3 linked regions of the Alligator mississippiensis genome follow. The protein of the gene in region 2 interacts with the protein of the main gene of each other region in a pairwise test. Links are inferred from orthologs where the notes say so. Each region holds a gene or a part of one and is shown on either strand. Other genes may lie near its edges.

Evidence for each region. The genes of interacting proteins can lie anywhere in the genome.
Region 1: the proteins of TRIM39 (region 2) and UBE2D2 interact in binary tests that used the Homo sapiens proteins (3 or more experiments, as listed by UniProt). The link is inferred for Alligator mississippiensis from reciprocal best matches to the Homo sapiens genes TRIM39 and UBE2D2.
Region 3: the proteins of TRIM39 (region 2) and UBE2D3 interact in binary tests that used the Homo sapiens proteins (3 or more experiments, as listed by UniProt). The link is inferred for Alligator mississippiensis from reciprocal best matches to the Homo sapiens genes TRIM39 and UBE2D3.

The regions. Positions count from the first base shown.
Region 1 is NC_081832.1:44,786,068-44,797,043, reverse strand, and holds the start of UBE2D2 (ubiquitin-conjugating enzyme E2 D2), read left to right. Parts: upstream 1-6,395; 5' UTR 6,396-6,717; coding exon 6,718-6,741; intron 6,742-7,563; exon of another isoform or gene 7,564-7,588; intron 7,589-10,976.
Region 2 is NC_081834.1:53,844,502-53,855,053, reverse strand, and holds the start of TRIM39 (E3 ubiquitin-protein ligase TRIM39), read left to right. Parts: upstream 1-6,171; 5' UTR 6,172-6,264; intron 6,265-6,360; exon of another isoform or gene 6,361-6,482; intron 6,483-6,553; exon of another isoform or gene 6,554-7,078; intron 7,079-10,552.
Region 3 is NC_081825.1:163,315,750-163,326,170, forward strand, and holds the start of UBE2D3 (ubiquitin-conjugating enzyme E2 D3), read right to left. Parts: upstream 4,582-10,421; 5' UTR 4,491-4,581; intron 4,472-4,490; exon of another isoform or gene 4,391-4,471; intron 4,049-4,390; exon of another isoform or gene 3,915-4,048; 5' UTR 3,771-3,914; coding exon 3,747-3,770; intron 1-3,746. UniProt on the Homo sapiens protein: Accepts ubiquitin from the E1 complex and catalyzes its covalent attachment to other proteins. In vitro catalyzes 'Lys-11'-, as well as 'Lys-48'-linked polyubiquitination.

The DNA.
Region 1 (10,976 bases), on a different chromosome or scaffold from region 2:
TGCACTAAACACCTATGACTTAGTGGGGCTAACAGAGACCTGGTGGGATTCATCCCGTGACTGGGCGGTACATATTGACGGCTATAGATTGTACAGAAAGGACAGGTCGGGGAAGAAAGGGGGGGGGGGGGGGCTGCACTTTATGTCAGTGAGCAATATACATCAACCCTCATCAAGACAGAATCCAAGGTCGAGGAAGTAGAAGGATTGTGGGTTAGGCTACATGGGGGGCAAGGAGAAAGGGATTTGGTGGTAGGGGTCTGCTACAGACCCCCACACCAAGGGGAAGAAATAGATGCGGGGCTCCTGAGGCAACTCTCGGAGACCATAAAAGCTAGAGGCGGTAGTCACGGGGGACCTAAACTACCCGGACATCTGCTGGGAGACGCAGACAGCAAGGTCCCATCGCTCACGCAGGTTTCTAACCTGTGTACAGGACCTCCACCTGACACAGGAGGTGCATGGTCCCACTAGGGGGAATGCCATACTGGATCTGGTATTGGCAATGGGAGATGACATGATAGGGGACCTCCAGATCGGTAGCCATTTGGGAGACAGTGATCACCTAATAATAGAATTCAACATAAGACGTCGAGTGGGTAAGTTAACTAGTAGGGTGAAAGTGCTAGACTTTAGGAAAGCTGATCTCAATGCACTCAGGCGATTAGTCAAGGACGCACTGCAGAGTAGGAGTTTTGAAGGGATGGGAGCCCAGGAAGGGTGGCTGTGCCTTAAGGAAACGATCCTTCGGGCACAAAGCAAGACAATCCCCGAGCGAGGCAAAAAAGGGAAAGGGGCCAGGAGGCTTCCATGGCTGACCAGAGATATCCAGGGCAGCCTAAGGGCCAAAAGGGGAGCACATAAAAAGTGGAAACAGGGTGAGATCACTAAAGTTGAATATACCTCCTCTGCTCATGCTTGTAGGGAGGCAGTTAGGCGGGCCAAAGCTACCATGGAGCTGAGGATGGCAACCCAAGTAAAAGACAACAAGAAATTGTTTTTTAGATATATTGGGAGTAAAAGGAAGGCCCAGGGAGGAATAGGACCCCTGCTAAATGGGCAGAAACAATTGGTGACAGACAGGGGGGACAAGGCTGAACACCTCAACGAGTTCTTTGCCTCAGTGTTCCTAAGTGAGGGGCACGACAAGTCTCTCACTGGGGTTGTAGAGAGGCAGCAGCAAGGCGCCAGACTTCCATACGTAGATCCTGAGATGGTGCAGAGTCACTTGGAAGAACTGGATGCCTTTAAGTCGGCAGGCCCGGATGAGCTCCATCCGAGGGTGCTGAAGGCACTGGCCGACATCATTGCAGAGCCACTGGCGGGAATATTCGAACGCTCGTGGCGCACAGGCCAAGTCCCGGAGGACTGGAAAAGGGCCAATGTGGTCCCCATTTTCAAAAAGGGGAGGAAGGAGGACCTGGGCAACTATAGGCCAGTCAGTCTCACCTCCATCCTTGGTAAAGTCTTTGAAAAAAATTATCAAGGCTCACATTTGTGAGAGCCTGGCAGGGCAAATTATGCTGAGGGGAAACCAGCACGGGTTTGTGGCGGGCAGATTGTGCCTGAGCAATCTAGTCTCTTTCTGTGACCAGGTTACGAAATGTCTGGACACAGGAGGAGGGGTGGATGTCGTATACTTAGACTTCAGGAAGGCCTTCGATACGGTATCCCACCCCATACTGGTGAACAAGTTAAGAGGCTGTGATGTGGATGACTACACAGTCCGGTGGGTGGCGAATTGGCTAGAGGGTCGCACCCAAAGAGTCGTGGTGGATGGGTTGGTCTCGACCTGGAAGGGTGTGGGCAGTGGGGTCCCACAGGGCTCGGTCCTTGGACCGATACTCTTTAATGTCTTCATCAGCAACTTGGACGAGGGAGTCAAATGTACTCTGTCCAAGTTTGCAGATGACACAAAGCTATGGGGAGAAGTGGACACACCGGAGGGCAGGGAACAGCTGCAGGCAGACCTGGATAGGTTGGACAAGTGGGCAGAAAACAACAGGATGCAGTTCAACAAGGAGAAATGCAAAGTGCTGCACCTAGGGAGGAAAAATGTCCAGCACACCTACAGCCTAGGGAATGACCTGCTGGGTGGCACAGAGGTGGAAAGGGATCTTGGAGTCCTAGTGGACTCCAAGATGAACATGAGCCGGCAGTGTGACGAAGCCATCAGAAAAGCCAATGGCACTTTATCGTGCATCAGCAGATGCATGACAAATAGGTCCAGGGGAGGTGATACTTCCCCTCTATAGGGTGCTGGTCAGACCGCAGTTGGAGTACTGCATGCAATTCTGGGCGCCACACTTCAAGAAGGATGCGGATAACCTGGAGAGGGTCCAGAGAAGGGCAACTCGTATGGTTAAGGTCCTAGAGACCAAGCCCTATGAGGAGAGATTAGAGAAACTGGACCTTTTCAGCCTCCGCAAGAGAAGGTTGAGAGGTGACCTTGTGGCTGCCTTTAAGTTCATCATGGGGGCACAGAAGGGAATTGGTGAGTATTTATTCACCAAGGCGCCCCCGGGGGTTACAAGAAATAATGGCCACAAGCTAGCAGAGAGCAGATTTAGATTGGACATTAGGAAGAACTTCTTCACAGTTCGAGTGGCCAAGGTCTGGAACGGGCTCCCAAGGGAGGTGGTGCTCTCCCCTACCCTGGGGGTCTTCAAGAGGAGGTTAGATGAATATCTAGCTGGGGTCATCTAGACCCAGCACTCTTTCCTGCTTATGCAGGGGGTCGGACTCGATGATCTATTGAGGTCCCTTCCGACCCTAACATCTATGAATCTATGAATATCAGTAATCAGGACAAAGATATGTTCTTTCAGTTTGATCACTTAGACCCTCTGAATGTTTACATATATGCCTAATATTAAGCATGAGAGTAGTTCTGTTGACCTTGTGATAGATGTATGGAATTGGGATCTTAGCTCCTTGTTCACCACAGGCTCATTCACTTCTTTCAGAAGCTGTTTGTAGTCACAGTAGTGCTTACTTTGGTTGACCTCCCCCACACACCTGTAAGGGAACACACACACATCCTTTCTTTGGAAGGCTTAGGAGATTATAAAATTAATTAGAAACATTTACAGAGTTCAAAAACAATAGAACTACAATATTTATAGTGATAAACTGAAAAATGTGCTTGCACTGCTGGAACCTAAACACAAAAGCATGAAAAGCAAATCTTAATCCAAAAGCAAATCTAATGATGAGGTGCAACCGAATAGTCTCATTTCATTCCGAGGATGGCAAAGGACAGAAACAGCAGAGACAGTGAAAATGTTAGACTAAATTAGGTTCCTATATATTTTGTTGTAATAATCTAAGGTATTGTTATCAGCAGTTCACATACTTGTAAGACTGGTTTAAAGGGTGTTTTTTTTTAAATATTCTAAATCCATTTTTAGCAACCTATAGGAATGATTAAGGATTTTTTTCTTTAGTGTCCTTTTGACTGTTTCAAACCTTAGCTAATTATTTCTAAATATTCAATTCTAAAGGGAAGTTGCTGTTTTGTTTTCAATTTTACTGCTATTATAATTATTAATTCATGCTTTGATATTGTAGCTACCTAAAGAAGAGATTATATGGCTCAGGTACAGTGACACAACTCTTCACTTTGCAGGTGGTGGTTTGAATCCAATCCTGACTGGAAGTGCTCAGAGGTGACTTTTGGGATGAAAGCTAGATGACCACTGGATAAAAGCTACATGAAATGCACAGGTGTGCTTGCTTACCCATCACAAATTAGCATTACAATCTATGCTTGTGTTAGTATTCTCATAGAGGAGGACGGTAGCTGAATAGGAAATGAACGGCTCTCTACGGTGACATGTACTTTTCAGGCCAGGGTTGTGGAGCAGTGGCAGGGCATTACCTAAAAATCTTGTCCTGCTGGTAATCATACTGTAACCACTAATAGTGTAGAGAAATGTATTCTTTGGGCCTGTCAAGACTGGTGTTTTTCAGGAGCAGTACATTTACTTACGCAATTTAAGAATTGGTTCTCTTTAAAACACTATTGTTATCTTGACATCTTCAATAAGCCTGCCACTTGACACATTATATATTATTTTTCGCTATCACAGATAAAACATAGGTTATGTGATTGTTCAAATCATTAATATAGAACTGTAAAATGATCCAAGTATGCTTTTACCTAAAACTTGGTATTTTAAGGTTAAAAATATGTAATTGTAACTAGGCATTACAGAAACTTTTTTTCTGAGCCTGCTAAGGACAATTTAATACAACTCATTTTACAGTGTGTGGCCAGAAGCATTTTTTACTGTATTTGATGCACAACCAGGGTATTTGTTTTCTCAGGGGCTTCAGTTATTTCAGTTGCTTTCACTGTTTTTCTGGCAAAGTTTCATCTCTACTATCTCTCTATTTTCAAGAAATGATGGACAAGAGCAGATATTGTGCAATGAAGTCAGTGGCAAAACTTCCAATGATTTGTGGTGGAGGAGGCCACATGCCCTTTGCAAGGTGAACACACACTTTCATACCTCTCTGAACAACTTGAAAATGTACTTGTCTACTCAGGTGCCCAGCTAAAGTTCACAAGTAGAACCCAACATAAAAACATCCAGTCATGTTCACAGAGCTCTGACCTACTCACTGCTCAAGATTAATCCACTACTGAAGATTAATCATTTAATAATAAATCTGGATGCAAGTAAATATAGAGAAAGCAACTTCAAAGAATGCTTCGGCCTTGAGCAAGGGGTCGGACTAGGCGACCACCCGAGGTCCCTTCCAACCCTTTCTATGATTATTAGAAACAGAAAGCACTCTGACAATGTCCTTTCACACAAATGTTGCCTTTCTTTTGGTAGTGTGATGGAAAACCAAAGGGCTAAAAGCAGTAGAAGTTTGTGCAGCCTTTTATTAATGCCACTCTTGTTTACCCCAGCAGCAGTTCATCTAGGCTAAAGGATGTATGATGTTTGGGACAGGCATTCCCTTTTTATTGGTTGATTAGAATGGGAGTCATACCATGCTAGGCAGCCAATTGAGGTTTTAGGTACTATTCAAATAATCATTAGTAATGGTAGGAAGGATGAACGTTTGAGATGAGACCAGGCATCTAGCTTGCCTCTGGCAAATTGTCACCTGACCCTGGGAAGAAGTGCCAGCCAAAACAGTGGTATGTGACAGCAGCCTGCCACTGAAAAGGCACCAGTCCTGAATGGAAATCAGGGATTAAACATGAGACCTGTCCAGGGCCAGTTCTTAAGCAGAATGGCTCAGAAACATGGCAAGATTCAGTTGGGTGGTTTTTTTGTTGTTTTTTTTTTTTTTTTTTTTAAGGGTAGCAAAGCTTGTGCAGTTTGTCATACTCTGAATTGTATTCGATTCCCCAAGTTTGTGTATACAGCATGTTGAAAATGTACACCTGGATTGCATCAAGGCAATAAGGGAGTTCCCCCATTGTTTTGCCAAACTACCTTAGTTGCCTGGGTCAGCGAAGGGATGACACAACAACGATTCACCTATTGGCTCCCTCCAACTAATGAGACACTTCCTCAGCTTTGGGTCGGCAGATTTGTTTCAACAATGGGCCAGGACCATCTCCTTCCCCTCGGGGACCCACCTGCAGCAGCCCACTAAGGGCAGCAAGCAACCAGTTTACGGCAGGTAACACTTAACAGCATGGGTCGTCCTTGGCCAGAAGTCATAGGAAATCGAGCAGCAGAGCCAGCTGAAGTGGATGGCTCCCGAGTCCCCCATCGAAGTGTCTGCTCAGGTGTGACCAGGGGTGCTGGACAACGGGACGGGCCTGCAGTGACCGGGGGAAGTGACGAGGATCCTGGGCAGAGCCTGGAGGCAGCGAGAGGCTGCAGCCTGCGCCTCGGGGTGCCCGCGCGTGCAGAGGGGAGGCCCAGCCCGGCTGGCAGGGGCCTCGGAGCCGCCCGCCCCCAGGAGGCGCCACCCACGCGGGGCCCGCGCCCCGAGGCGCCTCCCGCCTGCCACGCGGCGGCTTCGCAACCCCGCGGGCCCCGGCTCTGCGTGGCGCACCAGCCGGGTGAGCCGCGGCCCCGCGGAACGGGCCGGAGGCACAACACCTCCCACCCGCCCGGCTCGGGCTCCCGCGGACCTCCAGCCCCGCCCCGCCCGCACCCAACGCGACGGCCACACAAAGTCTCCCACCCCTTAGCCGGAACCTCTCTTCTTCCCTTCTCGCGAGAAGTCATCTCACCCCCCTCTTCAACAGCTCATATCCTTCCGCCGCCGCGCTCCCCTCCCCCTTCTGGAGAGTTCTGCGTGCGGGGGGAGGGAACAGAAGTAGTCCCCGTGCCCGAGCGAGCCCCATCACCAGGTGCGGCGGCCCCTCCGCCTGGCCGCCCCGCTGCTGGCTGCTGGGCTCGCGGCGGAGTGATACGCTCGCAGGCAGTAGGGCATAAAGGGCCCGCGGAGGGATGCGCTAGGATCTGCAGCACCGAGGAAGCGCTGAGCGCCGCCGGGGGAGCTGAGCGCGAGGCCCGCCCGCCGCTGCCGCACGGACACCCGCGTCTCCCGCGCTCCTCCCCCCGGAAAAATAATCCCAATCCCCTCCTCCCTCCCTCCCTCCTCCCTCCCCCGCAGCGGCCGAGCCCAGGGCCCCGCGCGCCCCTTCTCCGCGCACCGCCCGCGCGCACCCGCGCACACACCGCACTCTCTCGCTCTCGCACACACACAAACTCTCTCTCACACACACACACGCACACAATGGCGCTGAAGAGAATCCACAAGGTAAGGGCCGCTCGCAGGGGAGCGCCGCCAAGGCCTGCGCCGGGCCTGGGCCTGGGCCTGGGCCTGAGCCTGAACCCGGGCCCGCAGCTCGGCCTGGCCGCGCCGCGCCGGGGTGGGGGCGATGCCGGCTCAGGCTGCTCCGCTCCGGGCCGAGCGCACCTGCCTGCGGCGGCTCCGCTCCCTTATGTAATGCGCGGCCTGGCCCGGCTCCCGCCGGCGCTTGCTGGGCGGAGGGGGCGCCGCGATGCTCTCGTGGGGCTCCCGGGCGCGGGGCAGGGCCGGCCGGGCCTTGCGGGCCAAGCTGCCCCGCGGTGACCCGGCCCGGGCCGCCCTCCCCTCCCCCCTTCTTGTCTTAATTTTGCTGTCTCGGCCCCCGGGGGATGCGGGGAGCAGCTGAGTCCCAGGGCTACCGAACCCAGGAGCCCAAATTTAAGAGCTGCAGGACCAGGGGAATGGTGATATTGCCAGAGGAGAAAGCGAAAGCCCAGAGACCACAACCGAAGCCACTCTGAGGCTGGCTTGTCTCGCTCCCTCCCCCGCGGAGGTCTGGGAACACTTTTTGGGCAAAAGAAATGCCCTACAGCCCTAGCTGGGCCATGGTTAGAAGTGCTGCTTGGGCTTTCTTAATGATTTCAAAGAAATTGGTTTTTGGGGCAGTCTTCCTACAACAGCTAGAAACATGTCTGTAGATCACAGTTGTTTTGCTCTTTATTTGGAGGTCTCTTCGTGGTCAGCGCAACTCACTTCAGTTTTACCTGTTTAATTTATTAGTGATCAGTGACCTAGAATGAGGTGGTGACTCTTTTTTTTTTTTTTTTTTAGAAGTTCCTTTGTAGTATCTGGTGAGGTAAGCTGATGCCTACGAAAGCTCTGATTTACTGAGTCTATAAGGGGAAAATCTGCCCTGCCTTCTGCCCAACTCTTCTTATGCTTTGGAATAGGAAGCATCTTAGAGTCTTAGAAAGGCCCTAAAGTTTTGAAGTTTCCTTTCCACTGACTGATGCCGAAGGTGCTTTCTCTCTTCTTTTTGACCCTTGAATTAATCATTTTCATAGGAGTTGCTCTTCAGGAAAGACTTATCTGTGTTCAGGAATAACTTGTCAGGTGTAATATTTTTTGTTCAACTTCATACTAGTTTAGATCTCATCCTAAAAGCTGATTGGTTAATAGGTGAAAAATAATTCCTCAGCATTTATAACTGTACTGTAGGCATGACTTCACCTCCTACCCCTTCCCCTGATGTAGACATGGTTTATTTCTTTTGCTAGTACAGATTTTCTTCCTGGGGTACAGTTGAAAAGTCACTCAGCATGCCATAAGGTATAGTAGGAAAATAACTCCTCTTGATGTTATAAATTGTACCTACGCTAGGGGGTTGGGGGAGTTGCCTAGAAAAGGCCTGCTACTATGCTTGACTGTTAAAAATTGAGCAAAAGTACCCAATACGAATCCTCAGCTTTATGAGGAAATGTGAATGCATATAGCAGTTGCATCTTATGAAGAGCTACTGCAAAACAACAAGCATATCTGTAGCATTCACTAATGTAAAGAGGTGCTGTAGCAAAATGTAACATTTACTTGGCTACTGGCTAAATTATCCTCATCTTCACTTCTTTTTAATTCTTTGATTCATCTTCCTTCTCTTTAATTCTCAGATTGAAAAGTATATTTTCATTAACAAGCTTCAATATGTAGTGTGTTAATTTTTTTAATATGGTTTGTTTTATTAGGCCACAGTGGCAAAAGTGGTCAGTTACTGGGAGAGGAAGTGATCATGGTTATCAATCCATTAATTTTAAACCCATTCATTAAGTCAAAATAGGATGCAACTTGTATGCCATTCTGAACTGGCTGTTAGTTTCATTAGAATAGTCAATTGACATATTTGCAAAGAACTGCCCATAAAACAACTTTGTTTTTGTAGACCAGGAACTATACTAAAGTGCCATGTCCAATCTTTTTCTAGAAAACTGGCCTGACTCGTGTTTTCTTGTACCAAGGCGAACGTGCACAATTCTTAGGTGCCCGTTGCTGTAGGACCAAATAAAGAACAGGATCTGTTAAAGCCATCTATCCATCTATTAAAGAATTTCTTACAATTTAGGTAGACAAACATGGCATCCTTCTTCGAAAGGTGTGGCTTTTTGCCCTGAACTCATGACTTTGAAGTCTGAACTCCTGTGCGCAAACTTCTTGTGTGGTTTCTAGTCTGAGTTACTTATTTCTAGCTGATGAAATAAACAAAATATGAATCTGTTAGCTGATTTGGGGATCTTTGTGGTAATTTCTGTTCTGGTGTACTCAGCACCAGTACTGAATCAAGAATGCAGACTTTGGACTGGCTGTAACTACAGGACAGTGTTCTTAAGCTTCCTTTAGTATCTTTTATTGATCATGTTGAAAAGCAGCTTGAGTGCCAAATACAAGCCTTTTGCAAAATGATACTAAGATTAAGTTTCATATACATTTAAGGACTTATTTACATGAAGAAATAGATGGGCATAATTATATCTGCTAGGGCTGTAATTTCCTGTGTGGATGCTTGTTTCAAAACAAGTCATCACAGTTAGTGATACCTGTACATTTCACTAACAAGAAAAGCCCTGAAATGTCACATGAAAACCATTTCTTATTTTATTTTTATAAATGTTAGGCTTTGGGTGGGCAACCTGGGCATGAGTGCCACAAGTGGCACAAGTAAGCCTCTGTGTATGGCATACAGGTGATCAGGGAAGGGATTGGCAGCACAGCAACAGAAGGTAGAGCAGGAGATCAGGCAGAGAGCACAGGGCAAGAAATGGAAGACGGAGCAGCAAATTGATGCCCTTCCTCTTAGAGTGGTATTGAGGGGCAGGGGTAGGGCTAATGTGGTATGTTGCCAAAAAAAGTGCCCCCCCCCCCCTCCCCCCGCGCTATGTCGGAGGAGCATTGTGTTCTGTACAGGTCAGCTATTTTATATGCATATTACTTCTTTTGACTAGTTTAGCTTTCAGCAGGTTTAAGTTCCAGTTTTACACACCATTGCGCTGCTCTAAAATCCATGTTGATCTTGTTAACATGACTGAAATGATTGAAATAGTTCTCTGCAGTGTACTTGGGTCTTTCAAAATCTCCAGGAGTCCATGGCTTCTGCAGAGTTGTCAGGATTTGAGAAATACATAGAGAAAATTACTGTGAACTTTACTAGTATAACTGTCAGGGAACACATTTTTGATAAACAGGAACATGTGGGATACTACTGTGTGTGTGAGGGACTTCATGCAATCTTGATATTTACCCCAAGTTGGGCCATAGTGTGGCTTAATTCAGTATGTTTCTAAGAATAATACCTTCCTTCAATTTCAAAAGTACTTTTAAGAAACTTTTAAAAGAGATTTTTTTATAAAGATGGAATTGTGAAACTGGAATATTTTAATTTGTTCATCATGCTGGTCTTGCTTTCAGAGATGAGAATTCCACAGAATTATAGGACACCTAGAGAAATTATATAAACCAAATATTAGGCCTAGACCAGTGGTTTTCAACTTTTTTAGACTCAAAACACCTCTTGGACAACGTTAGATCTTAGCTTTCACTCTTATTTTTCCACAGTAAAAGAAAAAAAGAGAGAGAGAGCAATGTTTCTTTTGCAGAGAACTCGGACCACAACAGGTCATAATGTTTTTGATGCTGTGGATTCCTATTTGAAATCTCTAAGCTGATATAGAATCATGTGTAGGTGTTTGTATGCCTACAGTGTTAATTTTGAATGGCACTCTTAAAAGGATCTTCCAGTGTCATCCTGCTGAGAATCACTGGCCTAGGTGACTGTAGTCTCTAAATATTTAAAAGTACCTACAGCCTGTGTGCTGTCATTAAAGTAACTGTATTTAGTATGTTGGACCTCATAGGAGGCATTTCACTAGAGTAAGATGAAAATTGAGTAATGTTAACTTTAAAACAGGAGTTGGTACAGGAAGAAGGGGAAGGACTTTACTTATGTGTAGAGCTTAGGCCTTCTCACATATCTGCTAAATGGAGGGTTTTGGGGTTTTTTTTGTTGGTTCTTTAATATCCTAAATTTCAAGTTATTTTAAGGGTTATCTGATAGTGTAGTATTCTTGAACCTATGGGAGATGACTGTGGAGCTGTTTGTTGATAGCTTATCCAAATAGTAGAGAGAGATCATTGAAATGAAATGGACAATGACAGGTATGTTTTATTTTTCTTCAGGTCTGTTAAAACTATTAAAACAG
Region 2 (10,552 bases):
CTGCGGGGAGCTTCCGGGCCCCTAGCCAGTCCGTCACGTCCGGCGCTGCGTCTAGTTTAGGCGTCCCTGCAGGGAGGAGCTGCTGGGCCAGCTTCCCGCGGCGCTGTCGGTGCCCCTCCCGCCTGCCCGCCCTTGGGCCGGAGCCGCGACTGGGGTAACCTGCCCCCTGTGACGGGAACACAGGCCCCGCCTGCCAGGCCTGGCGGAGAGAGCGGATCCGGAAAAGACGCCGCCTGCTCTGGCGAGGGGAGACGACGCCCTAAGCGAAAGGGGACCTGCATCGCGGGGTGTTCATGGAGCCGTGCCCGGGACACCGCTCCCTGACCCAAGCGGGACCAGGGGTTAGTCGGGCGACTCACTTGCGATGCCCTTGGGGTGCCTGGGCAGGTGCCCATCTTTGCTCCCTGGACCCAGTGAGTGTTGGGCCTGGGGCCTGCCCTTCACCGGGGAGGTGAGGGCTGCACAGCGGGACCGGGAGCTTGCTGGTAACTGCCGGGCTCCCCAGGCTGGAGAAGCTTCCTTGTGATTGGTGGATCTTTCCCACCAATCGGGTAAGTGCTGGGAAGGGGCCTGCCCCACCCTTGCCCAGGTTAAGGGAAGAGCCCAGAGGTGGTTGAAGTCTACACCAACCTGATCCGTCCGTTTGCACTTTGGTGCGGAGCCTCTTGAGGGAATAAAAGCAGCATGCTGGCACCCAGTGGTGAAGAAGAGCTGGCCAGTGGGGTGGAGCTGTTGCCCTGAAGAGCCCGAAGACCTCTTTGTTGGCGGGGCACGGCGAGGAGCACAGCATCAGTGCATGGCTTGGTGCATGGAACAGGACCCTGGGAACTGCACAAAGTGGCTCAGGTCTGCAACCCCTGGCACAAGGCCCAGCAGTTGGTGCATAGAGTAGGTCCCTGGGAGTCGCAGAGGCAGCTTGGGTGCCTATCCTCTGGCAAGCAGCCAGGCAGACAGTGCTGGCAGCATGGCACAGGGTGGTCTGGGAGGGATCGGGACCCTGAGAGCCACTTGAGGCAGCTTGGGTCTGCAGCCCCTGGCACAAGGCCAGACATTCAGTGCATGGGCAGTGCGCAAAACCAGACCCTGGGAGCAGCACGAGGTAGCTCGGTTCTGCATCCTTTGGCACAGGGCTGTTGGCTCTGCAAGCAACACTACAGGAGTGTCCAGGCATGGGCCGACCCCCGGTGCTGCACTCGGTGCATGAGATGGTGCACAGGGCCTCCAGTGGGCAGCAGCCCAGAGGGAGCCAGTGGCCCTGGAGGCTGCACGTAGGAGGAAGCATCTTGGCCAAGGGGAGTTGTGAGTTACTGAGTAAAAGGATCCCATGGAGGAGGGGGAGATTTCTCCTGGCTAGTAAGTGGGGCTTCTGGAGGGAGGCCCAAGGAAAGAGGCCCCCCTGGAGTTCAGAGGTTTCTTTGGGTTTTGTGGAAGGCCCAAAGGGCACTAGGGATTTTCCCACTAGTCACTGGAGTGCAGCCAAGGCCTCAGGACCAGATGGGCTTTGGGGCATTTAAAGGGTTAAGTTTTTTTTAATGCTTATGTGCCGTATATTTTGTGCATGCTTATATTTGTAAGTTCACAGTTCATTAGAGTTTAGAATGTATGATCTTTGCTGGGGCCCTGCTGGGACCCTTCCCTACTTCCTGCCTGTACTTGCCTGCAACTCCAGTGGTGGTAAACAATCACATATATAGAGAATAAGTTTTATAGTTACAGGTACATATATTTACATATATTATTATGTTTGTATTTATATTTATCTTTTGATGACCTGTAAATATTAATAAATTTCTATATATTTAACTTCTGGATCGGCCTGGTTCTGTAGGGAATAGAGGGAAACTGTTTTAGTCTGCAGTTTCCACCCACAGCATACCTGCCCTGCTTACAATCCCCTTCAATTAGAGAAGAGTACATACCCGAATACACCTGAGCTACAACTGAGCTCATACCCTGCTCTGAGTGGGGAGGAACAACTGGAGATGCATGATTCCTCCTGTCACCCAGGCAAGGCCCCCTTGGCCTAAGGGATTTAGGCTTCATACTTGGTTCTAGAAGGGGAGTGTAATCTTGGGTTCCAAACCTGGGGTTAAACTCTTAGCAGGCAGGTGAGTTCTAGTAGGCTAAAGCAGGGAAGTGGGATAGGATAGGATCAGAGACCCAGTTACAACCCAGAGCTTGATCACAAGGGTGACAGCCAAGCATCACTTTTCCCCAGAGAAGAAAAGGATTTGGTGCAGATAGGTGGGGAGAACAGAAAGGTCAACAACAGTTAGCCCCTCATTGTGACTGATGACAATGAACACGAACTTCTCTTCTTCCCTGGTATTGCATTTGAAGATTCCAGAGATGCAGTTGACATGGGGCATCTCCAGGTGACAGTCTCTGCACACCAGCTAACTGTCTTGAAGGGAAGGCAGAGTGGGAGGAGGGACACACACAGCCCTGTCTCTAGCCACACAGGGAATTCTGCCTCAGTCTTCCTCCCTGCCCCGCTCCTGCTTGAGCCCACTGGGCCTCACTTCTTTCCTAGAACTGGGCATAGTACAGGCCCCTCCCTTCTGCTCGGGTGGATCAATGAGTGTTGGAGACATTGTAATCGCCCCTTAAAGTGATGTCTGTGTCTCTGTGAGGAGCCACCTAAGACACAAAGATACCCCACCCCCACAAAAAAAAAAAGCACGGTGCATCTTTTTTTTTTCCCCAAATGAAGCAGTTACTGGGTTCAGTCTCTAGCACGGGGAAAGGAGGGAAGTAATCTGGATCAGAGCAGTAGGCTGGGAGCCACAATTGGGTTCTCTTCTCCTCCCTGGGAAGAGAATGGGGTCTTGTGGGTTGAAGCGGAAGAAAAAAATAGAGGTGTGCTAGCAAAGATCTTCGGCCAAACCAATGGGGTTTGGACCTGCCCAAAAATGAAGAGGTGTTGCACATTCCAGGGCTCACAACCTCCACTGCCCTCTGGGACTACTGTTTCTCATGTCACCATCAACCACACTGTGGCTTTGCACTGCACTAACCTGGAGCTGCCAACACCTGCCCTACAGGGAAGTATGAAGCCTGGTCTGCAGAGAAAGCACCCCAGCTGGTTAACTGAACAACTGCTCCAGCTCTATATCCACAATGTCATCGGACATTGGGCTCTTCACAGTGATAACCCACCATTACCACCAATGGCCACCTGCTCCTCACAGGCCGCACAGCAAAGGGACAGCCACACCTATTGTAGAAAATGTGGCAGGAAGGCTTGCAGGCAATTCCAAGTAGCTACTGGCAGCTGCAGGGAAAGGAGAGAGGCTGGGTAGCATGTATAAGATCTGTTTCCCTTGGTTTTCTGAAGTTGGTGCTTGGTGCAATGCAAGGTACTGGAAGGGCCTATAATCCTGGTAGGTGTGCACACTCACCAGGATGCAATTACATTTCTCTGTCCCACCTCAGTCTCCTGGCCCTGATATCACCCATTCTTGGCTACCTGGAGCTCATCTCAACTTTGTTCTGTTCAGACACAGCAATATCCCCATTCCTCACAGGAAGCAGATCCACACAGAGGTTACTTAACATTGCTTTACAAAGCTTGTTCTCCACAACTGATGCAGCAAGGAGATCCTGCTGGAGCACAGCCAGCTCAAGAGAACCAGAATCTTTGCTGGTGTCCAGATGAGTCCTGGACTCAGCTGTGCCTCGGGAGGGCAGAACATATCTGGCTAGTGGAGAGATGTATAGAAGGGTAGAGTCATGGTGAGCACACAGCAAAGCAAGGCCTCTTCCATCTTGTATGGGACAATGCTACAGAAACTCACACACTTTGACGTTTTTCCGGTGGTCTGTGTCACTACCCCATGTTACCCACTACCCCAGGCTACCTTCAGGCCTGCTCTGTTGTCAAAGACTCCGTACTGCTAAGAGCAAATGGGACAGGCTGCCTTAGTCCCAAATGAATGAGCCCTGAGTTGAAAGTTTGATGACAGCCCTGGGGAGAGGGTAACCCCATGTGACTCCCTCATGGGACAAGGCAGAATTGTCATTTTCCCCACAAGAGGATGAGAACCTCTACTGGACCTCCCTCCTGGGTTCCTAGTCTAACTGGAACAAATCTGTCCTGACTTTAGGCCCCACTCCCCTCCCAAAGCCAAGGACAGAAACCAGGAGTCCTTCCCCCCCCCCCCCCCCCCCGGTCCTTCAGCTTTGATCTCCTGGAGCTCATGTTTTTTGTCAGGGCTGGGCATAGAGCCCAGGTGTCCTGACTCCCAGCCCATGCTACTGACTCCATGCCTGGGGGGATTCCTTCTAGGCAGGAACTGTTCTCTGTGTGGGCAGCTCTTGCTCAGTCTCTGCTCAGTCACCTCTGTCTACCCACATTCCCAAGAAGTTACCTGTGGGTGCCAACTCCTAGGGTATTCCAGGAGGATAAAGTTCGTCCATGGCTGTCTCTCCTCTCACTTCAGACTGCAGTTTCTACCAGCTGGAAGCTCTCTCCTACCCTGCCCCAGCACCTGCCTTTGACCCAGAGGAGCCCAGCATGGCCTGAGCCCTGCTCCTTACTGCATGTGCCCTGTTCTGTTTTGTGCTTGTAGGTAAGTCCTATCAGCAGGAGCTGCACTCAGACGTGAAACACACAGGGCTTGTCCTGCTTTTGAGGTAGGGAGGGCAGGAATTGTCTCCCCATGGCAGCGTGGCTGGCACAGGGCTCCCAGGGCGAGGACAGCAGGGGAGGCAGTCCCAAGCCTGCAGTGGGCAGCCGGCATTTGCCCCCCACCGTGGACTCTGCTCGGCTCTGCTCCAGCTATGCTGCCCGGTGATGGTGGTGGGGGCATCATCTTAGGCTCCCTGGCAAAAATATGTCAGCACCTATGCTCCTTGCTTGTCATTAGCCAGACACTCATCCTGCCCTCAGGCCAGGGGCAGATTGAAGTAAGGGAGGCTGAGGTGAGTGATGCTCAAAGCAAGCCCGCTGGGAAGTAGCATAACTGAGGGGGGCAATCTGTTTCCATGTGGGGGTGGCGCAAATAGCCACTGCTGCAGCAGCCACAATCCACATGTCACCAACCCACTCTGTCCCAGGAGCCTGCGGTTACCCCAAGTGCAGAGCTGCTCTGCTACGCCTCCGCCAACACAAGGGATCAGGGCTGGCAGGTGGTTTGGTGTGGTGGCCATGGTGTGACACATGCTCATCTCATGTCTCTCTCTAGCCAATGCTCTGGGCCCTGTGTACCTCCTGAGACAAACTGTGTGCCTGAATGCTCCGGATCCCGCCTCTCCATCTTCATCATGACCCATAAGGACTGAGGTGTCTTGCTGTCCTGTTCTTGTTTCCCTCAGTAGCTCTGGCTGCAGCGCCTTCTCCCCCTTGGCAGCCAAAGGCAACAGCCCCTCCCTTTTTCTCCCAACATTATCTTCTCACCTGCCAGCTGATGCTGATCCCAGTAGCTGACCAAGTGAAACCTCATCCCATCTTGGCCCCAAGAGCAGGAGAGTAACAACCCCCACAAGGTACGTGCCCACAGCTGCTCCTGACCAGCCTCTCCTGCCTTGTTCTGTCCTATCCTGCCCAAAGGGCATCCCGTGTCCCACCACAGCCACCTCCTGCCCGTCTCCTCAGGCCTGCCCCACAGCAGGGAAGGGGGGTGGCAGAGGGCAGCCACGTGCCCAGAGCTCAGCCCTGCTTCCCTCCCTCAGGGCTGGCAGCAGACAACCAGGTGGGCCTGAAGGTAATGGGCTGCGCTATGCCAGCGAGATATGCAAGGGGACCTGGGAGTTCAATGATGGGTAGTACATGGTGTTCAAGTGCTGCACCACCCACGACAACTGCAATGAGGGCGAGCACCTGCTCGCTGGTGCCAGGCTGAGTAGGGAGGCACTGGGTTCCCCTGAATCTTCCACCTCTCACCCCACAGCGCCCCCCGGGCCAATTACAGCAGAACCCCCCAGCCCACGCCTCCCTCTCTTTTTTTCCAGAGGGATTTTTTTTTGCAGGAAAGAGGGCAAAAGGCACTGCATCCCCCCGCCCCCAATGCGGACACCACCCCAGGTACTGCATCCCCCGCCCCTTTTGGGGACATCCCCTCCCCCCTTGTTGAGGCGTCAATTACCCCCCAGCACGTACAACATCGTGGGGGGCGGGGCTCATCTTGGTACGCTCCAAAAGGGGGCGGGGGGATGACGGCTGCCCGGGATGATACTGCAAAGTCCCCGTTGCGGGCCGCCGCCGCGTCCCCCGGGCGCTAACTTGGTCCGTCCCAGGAGGGGCCGAGGCGCTCGCTGTACTTGGTACGTTCCACGTGGATGCCTTTAGGAGCGGGGGGGGCGGGACCCGTGATTTGGGCGGTTCCACAAGGGAAAGGGGGCGGGGTGGCTTCAAGTCTGGATGGGAGGTTGCTCATTTTGGTACGGTCCACAGAGAGGCGATGGGATTTGGTCCTCTCCAGCAGGTGGGCGGGGCCCGCGCATGTGGTACGGCCCGAAAGAGGGGGTCGAAGGAATGAATGGTACGGATCACTAAGAGGGGCGGGGCGCGATGGTACGGCCCGCGATGCTGGGGGTACGTGCGGGAAATCAGTGTATTCCGTACAGCCCAGGCATGGAGGAGGGTGGGGGACGCAGGCCCGGCGTGTGTGCACCTGGTGTCGTAGTTGGGTCGGGGCGGCGGCGTGTGGTACCTTCCAGGACGGCTCGGGGCGCAGCCGGTGCGTTTGGTATATTCTACTGAGGGGCCTTTGACAGGCGGGGAGGAGAGAGGACTGAGTTCCGGTCGGGGAAGGCTTATTTCCGGTCGGAAAAGGCACACTTCCGGCTGGGGACTGGCCGCGGCCTGGTCATCGCGCCTCGTCTCCCGCCTGCTTTACCCTGGTCGCTGCGGCCGCGGCCCGCGCGTGGGAGCCGCTATGATCCTCCCGCGCCTCCTGCTTTGGCCCGCGTCTCCTGGCTGCAGCGGAGGAAACGCACTTCCGGCAACGTAGCGGAGGCTTCCGGGCCCCGAGCCAGTCCGTCACTTCCGGCGCTGGGCCCAGGCTCGGCGTCCGTGCAGGGAGGAGCGGGCGGGCCGGGCCGGGCCGGGCCGGGGCTGGGGCTCGCGCGGCCGCAGGTGAGTGCGCGGCCGGTGAGCCCCTGTCCCGTGCCCCGCCCAAGGGGGCGGGCGCGGTGCCCGGGGCAAAAGTCGCCCCTGGGACGCGGGACGCGGTGGGCCCTCCCCCCCCCCCCCGGTCCCAGCGCTGCCGCGCTGTCCCTGCTGCTGCCTGTGACCCTCGTCCCAGCCTGTCTCCTCCCCACGGCTCCGGGCAGTGCCCGCGGCCGCTGCGGGGTGCTGGTTGTGACCCTGCCACCCTCCGTCTCACTCCCCTCTGCAGCATGTTCGTCTCCAGCAGTCGGCGGCTGTGCTCTGTGTCCCCCCTTCTAAGGGGCATAGATGTTTGTGGTGGGCCTCACAGTTTCCTGCTCTCCCCCGCTGCAGTTTGGGGACGTGTGCGGTCCCCCTCACTTCCTTCCATCCTTGCCCTTGTCTGAAAGATGGGTAATGCAGGGTGTTCGGTGCTTCGTAGGGGGACTGGGCAGAGTCGAGACAGATGGGGGAATCGTCTTGCTTGGACGCTGCAGGCAATTGTAGAGGAGCCCAAAGCTGCGCTGAGAGATGACACTGGCTTCCTTATTCTTCCCCTTCTAATTTTTCAGCCCCGCCCCCCACCTCAGGTCCCTGGAGGTTCTGCTTTGCTCAGACAAGTGCTTCAGAGTCACCCCCTTACAGATCAACAAGCGTCTTGCAGCATGTCAGGCTTTCTTACTTGAAGCTGCTTTGATTTCCACGTGCAAAGCCAGACTGTCAGAGCCAAGCAACATGTACAACTTAAAAAACAGTGAACTTCTCCCCGTCACCTGCACAGTTTTGATCTCATTCACTTTCCACCTTTAACATTCAGTGTTGCTCTGCAATGGCTGAGCGCTGCATCCTGCCTCAGAGACAGCTGCGCTTCAGTGCTGGGCAAGCTCTAGGGATGTAAATATCACTTTAAAAATTAGCTGTTTAGACTCTTCTGACTATATTGGTTAACCATTTAACTAATAACACATGCCTGTGGGTTGGGTTGAAGGTCATACAACGCTGGTACAGCAGGATGGACACATTGGGCTGAGGGACTCGTGCTCTAGTACCAATAAATCATGCAAGTACTCGGCCAATGTAATTTGAAAACATAATTCATTTAACTCCACCCTAGCAAACACAAACCATGTGTCAAAAAATGTTAAATGTTAACTGTAATGCATTAATGGTATAAATATAATTATTAGAGGTGCACTGATACATTGGTCCCATAGCGGATCGGCACCGATATAAGGAAAATTGACTGTATTGGCAGTTGGTTTTTTTGCCTGATGTGGCTGATAAGGTAGCAAATAAATGCCCTGTGTATGCGCACAGCCACAGTGCAGCATGCAGGCAGCCAGGAGCACAGCCTGGCAGTTTGGAGAGCAGCCAAATCGAGCTAGTAAGTCTGTTGTGAGGGAAGAGGGGTGGGGGAAATCAAGATCCCTGGGGTGAGGGAAGGAGTGTGGCTAGGGCAAGGGACAGAGAGTGACTCCTCTGGGAAGGGCAGCTCCTGTTGCACACAACCCAGGAGGGCGTTGGGGGCATGTGCCCCGACATCTGTGGGGGGCAAGGGCAGGCTGCTGCTGAGGGCTGGGGCCAGGGGTGGCACCAGGCTGTTCCCAGCAGGGGGGTTGGGCCGGGCTGTGCTTGGGGCAGGCGCCAGTGGTGCTGGAACTGGGGACTATCGCAAACTTAGGGGTGACTGCAGCCCCCCCATAGCTACCCTCCCAGCACCACTGCTGCCAGCCCTGAGCACAGTGTAGCCCAGGACTCTTCCAGGAAGAGCTTTGCACCACTCCCAGCCCACAATGGTAGCTCACCTTTGCCCCATGCAGATCTGGGGGCACCACTACCCCCCGCCATGCCCTCATAGGGTGCGTGCAGTTCCAGGAGCTACCCCCCGGACAAGCTGCTCATGGCTTCATCCTGTGCCCCACCCTGGCTGTGCATGACCTGTCCCAGCTCCACTCCCACCCTCACTGTGGGGGCAATGATCTGCCTGCCCCCCCCCCGCCTCCCCCCAATGCCTCTTCACACGCAACAGACTTACCAGCCAGACACTGCTCTCCAAGCTGCACGGCTACATTTTGGTAATCGGATCTGTATCGACCGATATGACTTGTTCAAAGATGGCTGTTGATATCGGCTCAAAAAATTTCCATTGGTGCACCCCTAATAATGATAGTTGAACCACTTAACCTTCCTGTCCCTAGCAAGCTCTCCTTGCTATGTTCTGGTAAGATGGGTATCCCCACCCTGCTCATGCCAGAGGCAACTACATCTCTGTGTTGTGAAGCTGATCTCTATGGCTGCTGACAGACATGGGGGGGGGGGTGCCCAAAATATACAGACTTTGGGCAAGCCAGATCCAGCTCGTGCAGCACCTCTTCTGATAATGTGCTGTGCTCAGTGTGGGAGTATACAGAGTTTAAAGTAATGCCCTGTTTTTTGGTTTGTCTTTTTTAATGTCTGCAAGCAGCCTATTTGATTTTTACTCACTGGCAAACTTGTAACAGTGGGACTGGGAGAAGTGTCCCTGAGAGTTATGATATAGTACATGCCTGGGCTGGATTTGGATGGAGGATTTAGAAGCAGAAGACTCTGCCACCCCTTCCAAACCCCTCCCCCCCCCCTCCCCCCCCCCCCCAACAACTGGATTTCAGGTGATCAAAAAAAATTCTGGATTTCAGTCATCTCACTTGGGGATCTAGTCATCTGACTTGGATGTTGGAAGGCAGATGACACTAGATTTTGTGTAAGTGTGTATTATTCCCATTTTACAGCTGGAAAATGAGAGTTGGGAGGAGAGGCTTATGCTTGTTTATTGACCCAGGAGTCCTGGCTCTCAGTTCCTCTGTTAAGATGTCTCTCCTCTATTCCTAGCTGTGAGAGAACCCAAGGATAAAAACAGACAACTGGCTTTAGTTTCATGGCTAAGCTTTTGTCTTGCAGCATATCTCAGACCTTACAGACTGATGGCTTAAGTCCATTGTCCTGCATCCAGTACTATGACCATGGTCTCCTTTCCAGGGCCTTTCCTTTCCATCATCTTATTGTAGAAGGCAATTGTAGAAGATGCATTATTCAGGCCATGGGCTTGTTCAACTGGGTGGGTTTGTTTACCTGGGGCATGGCTATGCTAAGAGGCATTAATGGCTTCTCTCTCTCTCTCATTGCATGAGGTATCAGATAAAGACATTTCAAAATGTAGCATCTTTTGTAACTTGCTCTGCTGAGCTGCCAGCCTGTTGCTGTTTTCAGAATGGCAGGGGGGAAAGGTAGCAGAGGAAGTTCAGCAGTGTTCCCTCTAAGCTGTGTGGCATGTACAGGCACACTCATGCCGTGCTGCCAGGCGTGCCTGTATGGCCTGGATGCTGCGCAGTTTAGAGGAAATGCTGGAGTTCAGTCTGGGGTCTTTTCAACACCCTCCCTCCCCCCCACTGCTTTGGGAGGGGTGGGTGTATTGGAGGGGGGGGG
Region 3 (10,421 bases), on a different chromosome or scaffold from region 2:
GCATTCCATGCGCTACTACACTCTATGCAGTAGTAGATAATTTTGGGGGCAAACTGAACTGCAAACAACACTGAGTTACACAGCAGGGAAGAGTCAAAAAGCAGTGTGGTCTAGAGAGATTAGAGCCATAGCAGCTGCAGGAAACAAAGGGAAGATTTAGTTTTGAAGGCAAGATTTGCACCCAGAAAGTTGAATAGAACAGATAAACAAATTATAACCAAGCACTTATACTCATCACTTTTAAGTTGGCAGGGAAACAATTCACAAATATCACTTTGGAAGCTGTTCTTAAGCAACCAAAAACACCTACAAAAACCATTTAATCAGACTGTCAGCCTGTGACAAACATATTATAAACACTCCTTTATTATCTAGTTAAAAGAGCCCTAAAGTTTTATTTTAAAAAATGTAACTTAGTATTATAAAACATCTATTTTCAAGTAAAATTCAAAAGCAATAAAATATAAACCAACTTAACAGCAAGCATCTCAGGTCTAAGACTGCATTTCACCCTCTATATTTGGAGAGAACCAACTTCTTGCTATTTTTGTGATGGTGGAGTCACTAGGATGAACAAAGAAAAAATTCTGGCACATAACATAAATCTGTGATGGAACCAAACAGGCCAGTTTTTAAATCTATTAATTTTAGAAGTGGTCATTATTAAAAACAAAATCTATTTTAGACAAGTTCCCACTAACCTATCCTGTTTTCTGGATAGATTCACAACACACATTTCACAGAGGAATACAGTCCTATAAACAAATGCTCAAGTACTCTGAAACTGAACAGGACTTTTCAATAAGAAAAAAAACCTATTAAAATTTATAAATTGTCCATCTCTTCCCAAATATCAGAAGCCATTATTTTGGTCACAATCCCATATTTAAAAGAAAAATAATTAACATCAAAATTGAATGTTCAGTTTTATGATACTATGCTTCCAGAAACACACCTGAATTTGAAACCACCACTTGCATACCAAATTTATTCCAACAGAAGTTCACTTTTACCAGCAGAGATGGCAGTTATGCTGGTATGTTGGTCATACATCTTCACCCCCCTCAACCAACATGGCTATGCAAAGAGAGCCTTTAACTGAAGACCTGGCCTCAGTGACCTTATGATATCTTAACAGTGACCTAGAACTGCAAAATTCAAAACATTTTATAGTATGAAAATTTAACTGTTAGCAGAAGCGCCAAATCAAAATCAGATGCAACAGAACTTTTATAGATAATGAGATGTCTTATCCAGAAACAGTCATTTTAAATTTCTACATAAAAAAAAAAAAAGATGGGGAAAGCAGCGTTTCGCATATCTGAGGACACCCAAGTTAAATGTTTTGTTTCACTCTGTATCAAACACACTTGAAAGACACGGACCACAAGTCAACCCAACCAAATCAACCATGAATGAAAATGCCTCTGCCTTGTGCATCTTGCATGTCACCTGCTGCAGAAAGTGAACTTTAGTCTTGGCACGTAAAATTTCCAAAGACTGCAAATCAGACTAGATGGAGTCATCATAGCAAACTAAGGTCTTAACTCACTTTATACAGGCCTGGATTAGTGCCAAGAAGGGTATAAGGAAGCACTGAGTTTCAAGGTCTGGAGATTCCACTTTTCCAATGACACAACACCGATCTCTGGCTCTGGTGGGTAGTGAAGCAGATCCTTAATTCATATCATTCTCATTAAGAAACTCTTTTTGCTACACTTTATTGTCAAACCTGAGCCATTTGTATTGGAAAGCACTGCTTTTGGTGAAAGCAGCGTGCAGTCTTAGTACCTGGATAACTGGATACTTATAAACCAGGCTGACCAACTTCTGAGGTACTGGGGGCCGCATGAGTCAACCACAGGTCCCCTGGGTCACATGCTACATAGATGTTTCCCCCCTTCCTCCCCACCACTGCACCATGCACCTACTCAGGTGAACCCTCCCCACAGCTGCACTGTGCACTCACATGGCACCAGGTTCACCCTCAGCTCCCCAAGCCAAACTGCACTGCCCCACCGCCTGGGGCAGGGATAGGAAGCAGGAGATGGAGAAAGGAGGGGGAACCCAGGGACTCTGGCTGTGTTGCAGTCAGAGCAATTGATGTGTCAGCCCAACAGAAGCCCAAGAAGCACAACAGCCCTGCTATAAACTTTAACTTTCTGAGATAGAGAATCTTAAAAACAAAAGTAAAAAATGCAAACAAAACATCACTTTACAGGTATACCTCATAACTTAAGTCTGGTTATACCAAAACTAAAAGTCCTAAACAGTGGCCTTGGATATTGTATAACCGATTCCAGTAGTGGAAAAAACCAACCAAGAACAAGACACTGACCTGAGTAGCTGACAGTCCCTGCTCCACAAAGCTTATAATCTACATAGAGTTCTTGAAACAAAGTTATGTTTTATTTTTTTAAATGTTTTAAATATCAGATCTGCTACACATTTGAGAGCCTGCCTTGGCATACACCTGACCATAAATTATTCTTGTGAACAGACGCCTGAGTTTCAGATGCATTTTACTGCAAGTTGATGACAAAGCACACCAGGGAGTCCCTTAGCCTGTTTTAATAATATCCACTAATGCAAGGGGAACAAGTTTTGATGGCAGATTCACCAGGAATTGTTTTTCTGAAATTATTTAAATACTGTAGCTGTAATACAAGTCCACACTTTCTACTTGCAGTGATTTTAAGAGCTTTTACATTTTTAAGGGCTTTATTCAACATTAGATGCGAGGTATAGGATACAAGCTTCATTTGTCCTTATTTTAGTCAAACTAGTCAATCAAGACACCACTATTATGATGTGTAACATCAAATAATGACAGCACTATAGTACTTGAGAAGTGCCCAAGAAAAGGCTTCCAGAATATTCAGGATACTATGATTTTCTACCTTCTTGGCAGGCTCAAAATGAGGAGGAGCAAATATTTCTGCCTCCCCACCCCAAAATTTAGCATATTTTAAAACCATCCTGCTTCAATCATGGGATACCTCATTTGGGAACTTGGCTGCTGCACTGCACAAGAACATCCCTGAAACAGGAGAGCATCACAGAGCTCCCTAAATCCCACTGTGCCACTAAAACTTTTTCTCTGGAAGTGATTTAAACATATGGCCCTATGACTTTTTTTTCCGCATTAGCTGTTAAAAAATATTTATACACACACGTATATCACTCCACCCAGCCGGATTGAGCAATGCCATCCTCCGTACTGCACACAAACACTTCCGCCCCTTGTGAAGGCAGCGCAGGCTCTTCCAAGGCGAGGAACACAGGCCAGGCCAGAGCGGGGTTGTTGGGGGAGCAGAACAGCCAGCAGTGCCCGGGTACCGCAGCTGCCGCGCCACAGCGGCCGGGCGTGCGTGTGCATGGTGTGTGTGCGTGTCATGTTATTGCAGAAAGCCAGAGATCCCGGAAAGAGCCTGAACGGGGCGAACCCGCCGCCATCTTACAATGCGGGAAAGAAGTTACAGGCCAGAAGCGAAGGGCGAGTCGCACGGGGTACAGGCCCCGCCGGCCACGGAAGAGCCGGAGCCCACAGAAAACGGCCCCACCCTGTAAAATGGGACCCAAACGGGTGGGGGGAGATGCCGTGGCCTCAACGAGGGGCCGGCCAAGGGGAATTGCTGCCGACACCTCCGTCGAGCCCCGGAGTCGCCGCAGCGACATCGGCGCCAGCCCCCCTCCCGGGACCGAGACAAAGCCGCAGCCTCTCGCCCGGCCCGGCCGCTCCTCACCTTGTTGATGCGTTTCAGCGCCATTGTGGGTGCGGGTGCCGCCGCCGGGCCTGCCTCCGCCTCCGCTTATGCTCCGCGCCGCCGCCGGGCTCGCGCTGGGTGACGCGGCCGCTTCTCCTTCCTCCGGAAACAGCCAGGGGCGCCCGCACGGCGCAGCCCCTCCCGCCGCTGCGGACACAACGCGCCCGCGAGAGAAGCAGTGGTGAGGCCGGCCCGGCCCTGCCTTGCCCAGCCCGACCCGGCACGAGAGCGCGAGTGCAGCCGCTGCACCCGCCGCCGGTGCAAGGCCGAAAGGAGGGGGAGGGGGAGCGGGAGGGGCCACGGCTCGTGCAGGCACCGCCCCCCCTCCCGCCCCTCCCCGCCGCGGGGCGGGCCCAGCAGTGGCCGCCAACGCCCCCCCTCAGAATGGGGGGGGGGAAACGGCGGGGGGGGGCCAACCGCCGCCGCGGGCGGAGGACTTTGCGCACGCGCGGGGGGAATGTGAGGCTCCGAGCACGCAGACCCACAAGGGCGCGGGTGACGCGCTGTTCGCACGCTCATGGGGGGCGGGGAAGGAGGTCTCGCGAGAGCGAGCGCCCGCGCTCCTGTCCCTGCCCAGCGCTGCCCTGCCTTGACCTGGCCGAGGGGAAGAGGGGGGGTCGTACCTCCACCCCTCGCAGGAAGAAGCTTGTACGGGAGGGGCAGTCCCGGCTCCCTGGGGGAGGGGGAGGGGGAGATCGGCTCCGCGACTCTTGAGACACTCACGGAGCGAAGGCTCGTCCCGGCTCCCCGCGTGCCGCCACGAGCTAGGCCCCACCCCCTGCGTGCGTGCGTGCGTCAGCGTGTGCGGGAGCCCAAAATGGCGCCCGCTGCCGGATCTGCGTTGGGAGCGGCGTGCTCGTATCCCTCCGCCAGAGTGCTTTTCCGAGCGAGAGAGTCAGGCGGAAGGATGAGGGGGGACGGAAGTGGATTAGTTCAAACGGGGAGGTGCCACCTGCAGAGCGGTCGTATGGTCTCAGGTACTAACCTGAGGGCGGGTTCCTCGTATATGTGGCCTGGGAATTGCTTTGCCCGCACGTGTGTCCGCTCTCAACTTAGTGCGTGATTTACTAGTGAATTGTGTGAGACACGTGGCGAGGCAGGGGCTCCAGACTAGGCAGGAAGCCAGAAATGGGACTTTAAGGTAGAAGGAGGCACGCACAAGGCCTCGGGACTAGAGAAGACGTGATGCTTGAGGTGTGGCTTATTTTTTTACAGCCTCACCAGAGAAATGCCAAAAATGCTGAATTGCTATAACTTCCATGTTTGAGAGAGAGAGGTTGTAACCAGATGCTCCCTCAGCCTGACAAAAGGAGTTTGTATCCAAAAGCGTGCAAAGAAGAATTTTTCCAACTGTTTGGTTTAATAACAGATGGCAGAATGGCCCAAAGGACCTTGTCTGAATAATGATGATAAACCCAGAGATACACTGGCTCACCTAGTGCTGTTCTACAGGCAGCACCATGGTTTTCAACGTTAGATCCATGGGATGCTGCAGATCCAGAGGATGCGTCAAAACTTGTGGGACTCTTTTGGGGAAGGGGGTTTCCACACCCATTGATTATCTGGCTTCATCAGTGGTGGTGCTCTGTCACAGTCTCTCAATTCTTGGTGTAGGCAACTGGAAAAACAAAAATCCATTAACGAAGGTGTTTTCAGCTCTGAATTGTGTAATTTCCTTTGTGCAAGCTTAGTTATGATTAGATCTCAAAGGAGGAGCCTCAAGGTACTTAGGTAAGGCAGCAACCACGTAAGAAAGTAAAGACAAACAACGGGAAAGTTTAGAGTAGGGGACTCTTTCAAGGCAATGAAGAGAGGTTTAGTTATTAATAAATAGTAGGGCTATGCGAAGCTTTGGTGGCTGATTCGATTCGGCCTGATTCAGCGACCGAATCTCTGAATCGAATCAGGAGACCCTTTAATCTCTCAGAATTGAATCAGAAGCCTCTGATTTGATTTGGAGAGATTCAATTATTTGGCCACAGATACAGCTTTATATGTTTTTTCTACATACCTTGAGGTACCAGGTGCAGGTATTGAACACTGAGATGGTGAGGTGGATGGAGCATCCCACAGGAGGGGTCCCCCATGTGGTTGGCAGCAGACTCTTAAGTGGACCAGAAGTACATCCGGTACACTTCCAGGTTCGCTGTGGAGCACACAGGGGACCCCCCCGGCCCCCTGGCTCGGCAGCTGGTGACTCCTGGGTCTAAGGGGGCACCCAGGGTCCCCTGTGGCGGATCACTGAGCCGGGAGGGCACGGCAAGGTCCCCCACGCGCTTGGCGGTGGACCTGGAAGTGGACTACCTCTGAGCATGTGTGGGACCCCCCCACACGGTTCCATGGGACACTCCATCCGCCCCACCATCTTGGCATTCACAAGCTGCGCCTAGTACTTGAGGTACGTATAAAACGTATATAAAAACACAAAACTGTATATGGCCTAATCGCTGATTCTCCAAATCAGAATTGAATCTTCAGATTGGGCCAAATCAAATCGGGATGGTGATCTGAATCAGTGAACCAAATCACTGTCCCCCGAATCTGGCAGAATCAGAATCCGAATTGAATGCTATCTGCTTTGCACACCGCTAGTAAATATAGTCTTGAGAAATAGCAAGGATACATAATTGAGAAACAAAGCCAAGCAGCCATATTATTTTATGAATCTGAGCTTGTTTTTGTTGTGTTGACTTTAGTATTACTGTAATAGTACTGTCAAACATAAGAAAGATTCTACTTGTTGCAGAGGATATGTATCTTGTATGATAACTATTTTCCATGCCCAGTGTAGGTCTCATATCATTCCTGTTATCCCACTTTTAAATCAGTCTCTATACCAGTGGTTTTCAACTTTTTTTTAAGGAGTGTACCCCTTCTGGTGGGTACCCCTCATGGATTGTACCCCCTGGATGGGCAGGGGGGTGTCCCCCTGCGGCCAGTTGAGGGGGGGGGGCTGGAGCCCCACTGCTGGTCAATGAGCAGCACGTAGCGGCGCACTTCCAGGGTATGTGATGGCAGCACAGAGAAGCGGGGGTATTAGGAAGTCCGCTGCCATGCTTCCCAAGTACCCCTGCTTCTCTGCGCCACTGCCATGTACCCCCTGGGGTCTTCCCAAGTACCCTGAGGGGTACGTGTACCCCTGGTTAACATCCCCTGCTCTATACCATATAATTACGATATTCCACAGAACTGACCTGAACCAGTCTTTTATTAGTGTTGACAGCTTTCTAAGCCAGGGGTTGGCAACCAGTGGCCTACAGGCTGGATCTGGGCGGCAGAGCCCAGCTCGTAGACATGGGGCATCAGTAACACTTGGTGGGAGAGGCTTCTTCCTTGCTACAGCAGGGAGGAACAGTGGCAGTGGTCAGGTCCTAGCACTCACCTACCTGCATGTGATCCAAGATGTGTTGTTTTGGCCCGCAGCCCAAAAAGGTTGCCAACTGCTATTTTAAACCATTAAAGCACATTGTCATTCCTTAGAGGAGGTAGACAGTTGTGACTGAAGTGCCCCACAGTCCCTCTTAATTAATTTTCAGACTTCATGTGTTTCCCACCCTTTTTTGACTCCAAGGGTAAGTGGGGTCCTGCTTTGACCAAGGGGCTACACTAGATGACCTCGTGAGGTCCCTTCCAGCCCTGTTTTCCTATGATCCTAAGTCTTAATGACTCTGCCAAACTATTTCAATTGGCTGTTGGACCACACACAAGCAATCACATTTTTCATGAAAAATTATAAAATGGTCCCTTTCTGAAAGTTGACTGGCTTCTGAATAGCCCTATTTGGGATAGCAGACTTACGTTGTTAATCTTTATGTAACATAGTAAAGAGTGAAAATGGAACATGAAAAAAGTCATGCTACTTAAATTTCTTATTTCAGTATTTATATTAAAAACATATGTTTTCAAATCAAGTGCATGGAATGAAATCTTGAGAATGTTTAATAAAATAATTACTGAGCACACAATGTACATGGTGAATTAAACCTATAACTAACAGCCACAATTTAAAAAAAATGTAATGTAAAACACTGTTAACACAATGCTTGATAATTTAAATGCACTAAAATCATGAATATTTTTATTTATACAAGATTATTCAGACTGAAAACATGTCCTTCCCTTTCCCGCCCTCCCAATTAATTTACCCTTCAGACTAATAAGGAAACTGTACTTTTGTTAACTTTTAAAATAATTAATATTTAGTATTTAATTGATAATAGTGAGAGCACTCACAGGTAATGGTTTACAGGGTGAGGCTTAATATAGATTTGTACTTAGCACAGGTGAGTGGTTGCAGACCTTTGACATAAGACATTTGATGACAGGCAGCAATAAAAACATGCTAGTGGGAATAGTTACAATTTCTGGATTCAATTAAAAGACAGTCTTAATAAGCTGTTGGGTAGTGGGATTGTTATTCATGTAATTTGGCTAGTCCCTATATGCCTTTTCAGCCTGCTGTAATTGTTATTAAATCTGCTATTAAATCTAGAAATAACCTTTGATTCCCTCCCCTATCCTCTGCCATAAACAATAAAACAAATAGGTAATGGCTTTAATATGACAGGTGGCTTAGAGGCCTCTAGCTCATCATAAAGGAGTTCCTGAGTACCTGCTCAAGAGATTTTTCTTGTACCATCCTACCACGTGTGGATTTTGAAAAGGGGTTATAGATGGTGAGGTGCATCAACCCATATAACACAATACATATTTTTCTACAGTTAAAAATAAACTAGAAGCTTTACTACTATGCTAGGGGCCTAGGGCTGTATTATTCTGTTTAAGATTGAAGAAAAAACAAATACAACTCATAGGAATAAGTTAAAAACAATTTGCACTGCTGTGAAACAGGAGCTTCATTACCAGAAGCAGCTAACATACAGCAGAACTGCAGAACAAAAGCTAGCTTGATTGGTAGAACATCAAGACTATTGAAAAGAAGAGAGGGTCATTAACACCTGTGGAATGAAAAGTTTAGAAGGGATCAAAAGGCAACTGAGTGTAGTGAATGAAAACTGAGTGCCTTCTCGACCACGGTAATGTGGATGGCTGCTTCTAGTTCCAATGTAGCTTCAGGCCCTTGTAGCACTGCTAAAAAAGGGAAGTTTAGACAGAAAATATGTCCACTTAATAGTAGAAGCCACAGAACAACAGAATAGGCTTGCAACAGTGTTGGTTCAGACATCCAGAGTTTGTTATGGAAAATTGTTGATAGAATAAAAATGCTGCAAAACACAACAAGAAGATGGGTTTGTCACACTAGATCACTCAACTAGTCTTTTCTTGATTTATTTTTATCCAAAATTCCAGAAAATTCCAGTTCCTGCTAAAAGATTTTCTGAGTTTAGAAAACAACTCTTGTGTCAAAGGACCAGAAATATGGCAGAAAATGTTAAAGAAACATCACTAAATACACAGCATGGAGTACCCAGCAACTGATTGGGCTTGTTTTAATGTAGGGATAATGTATCTGTTTTATTCATAGATGTGTGATCCAAAGTCTGTTTAAGTCAATTGCTGCCATTGTGAAACAAAAAAGATCCATGAGGAAGAATGGACAATGCAGTTTTTTGTAAATAAAAGTTATGCCATTTTTGTGAGGTAAGACAGTAGATAGCTAAGCTGTAAAAGATTTTTGCATGTTAGTGGGCTCCCCTTGAGTCCATGACAACCCTACAGCAAGGTGTGCCATAAAAGTGGTTGTAGGTAGGAACAGGACTAGTGTTTTTGTAATTCATAGACTTACCTCTGAGAGGGTAACAAAATTTAGAGCACATATGAGAGGACCAAGACTGGACAAACAACTTGGAGCCACTAGCCCATGGCACCTTTACCTCAAGGGCCATCATTCCCCTTGCGCAGGGGAGGAAGAAGAGCCTTGAGGCCCACGCTCTCCTCTAGGTTCCAGCACAGAGACTGCGTTAAGCAGCAGAGGAACATGCCTTCCTTTCTCTACCTTTCCAGCTTGGGCATCTTGCTCTTCCACCGGTTTGCTAATACCCCTAGAGCAGCCAAAACCTTTCCACCTGTTACCCCTATATTACCTCAGCTGCAGTCCCTTATGATAGTTGTTTCTAATGCACTGCTTGGTCACAGCTGGAGAAGGTAATTAGGTTCTTTATTAACCCTTCCAGGCTACTGCTGTTTAGGGTATATACCAGATAGTAGGAAGTTTAAATTTCTGTTATGGAAGTTCAGTAATACTTTTTACATAGAAGGTCCCAGTTTGCTTAAATACATGGTGTGACAGTGGGGAGGAAATGGAAGAAGAATCTTACATGCCGAGTCAGAGGGAAGCAGTGAAACAGCGCTGAGAAACAGCACCAAGAAAATAGACGAGTGCTGGGGAAACCCCAGTGCCAGCATGGTCACACTTCATAAGCGTATGCCACCGGTGTTTCAAGAGGAAGAACCCTGTGTCCAGGTTAAAAACCCTCTGAGGAGATGGATGGACTGGAAGTGAGGTCCAGAAGTCCCAGGAGGGGCAAATGGTGGAAAGCAGCCTGTCGGCAGCAAGCCCACTGAGGCAGCTTGGAGGAGCCGAGTGACTTATCCGCACATTTGTCTTGGCAGTTAGGGACAGACGTTTGGGACCTGAGCTGGAAAGCTCGACCTGAAATGGAAGACAGAGAAGAGTTGCGAGTACAGTCGGGG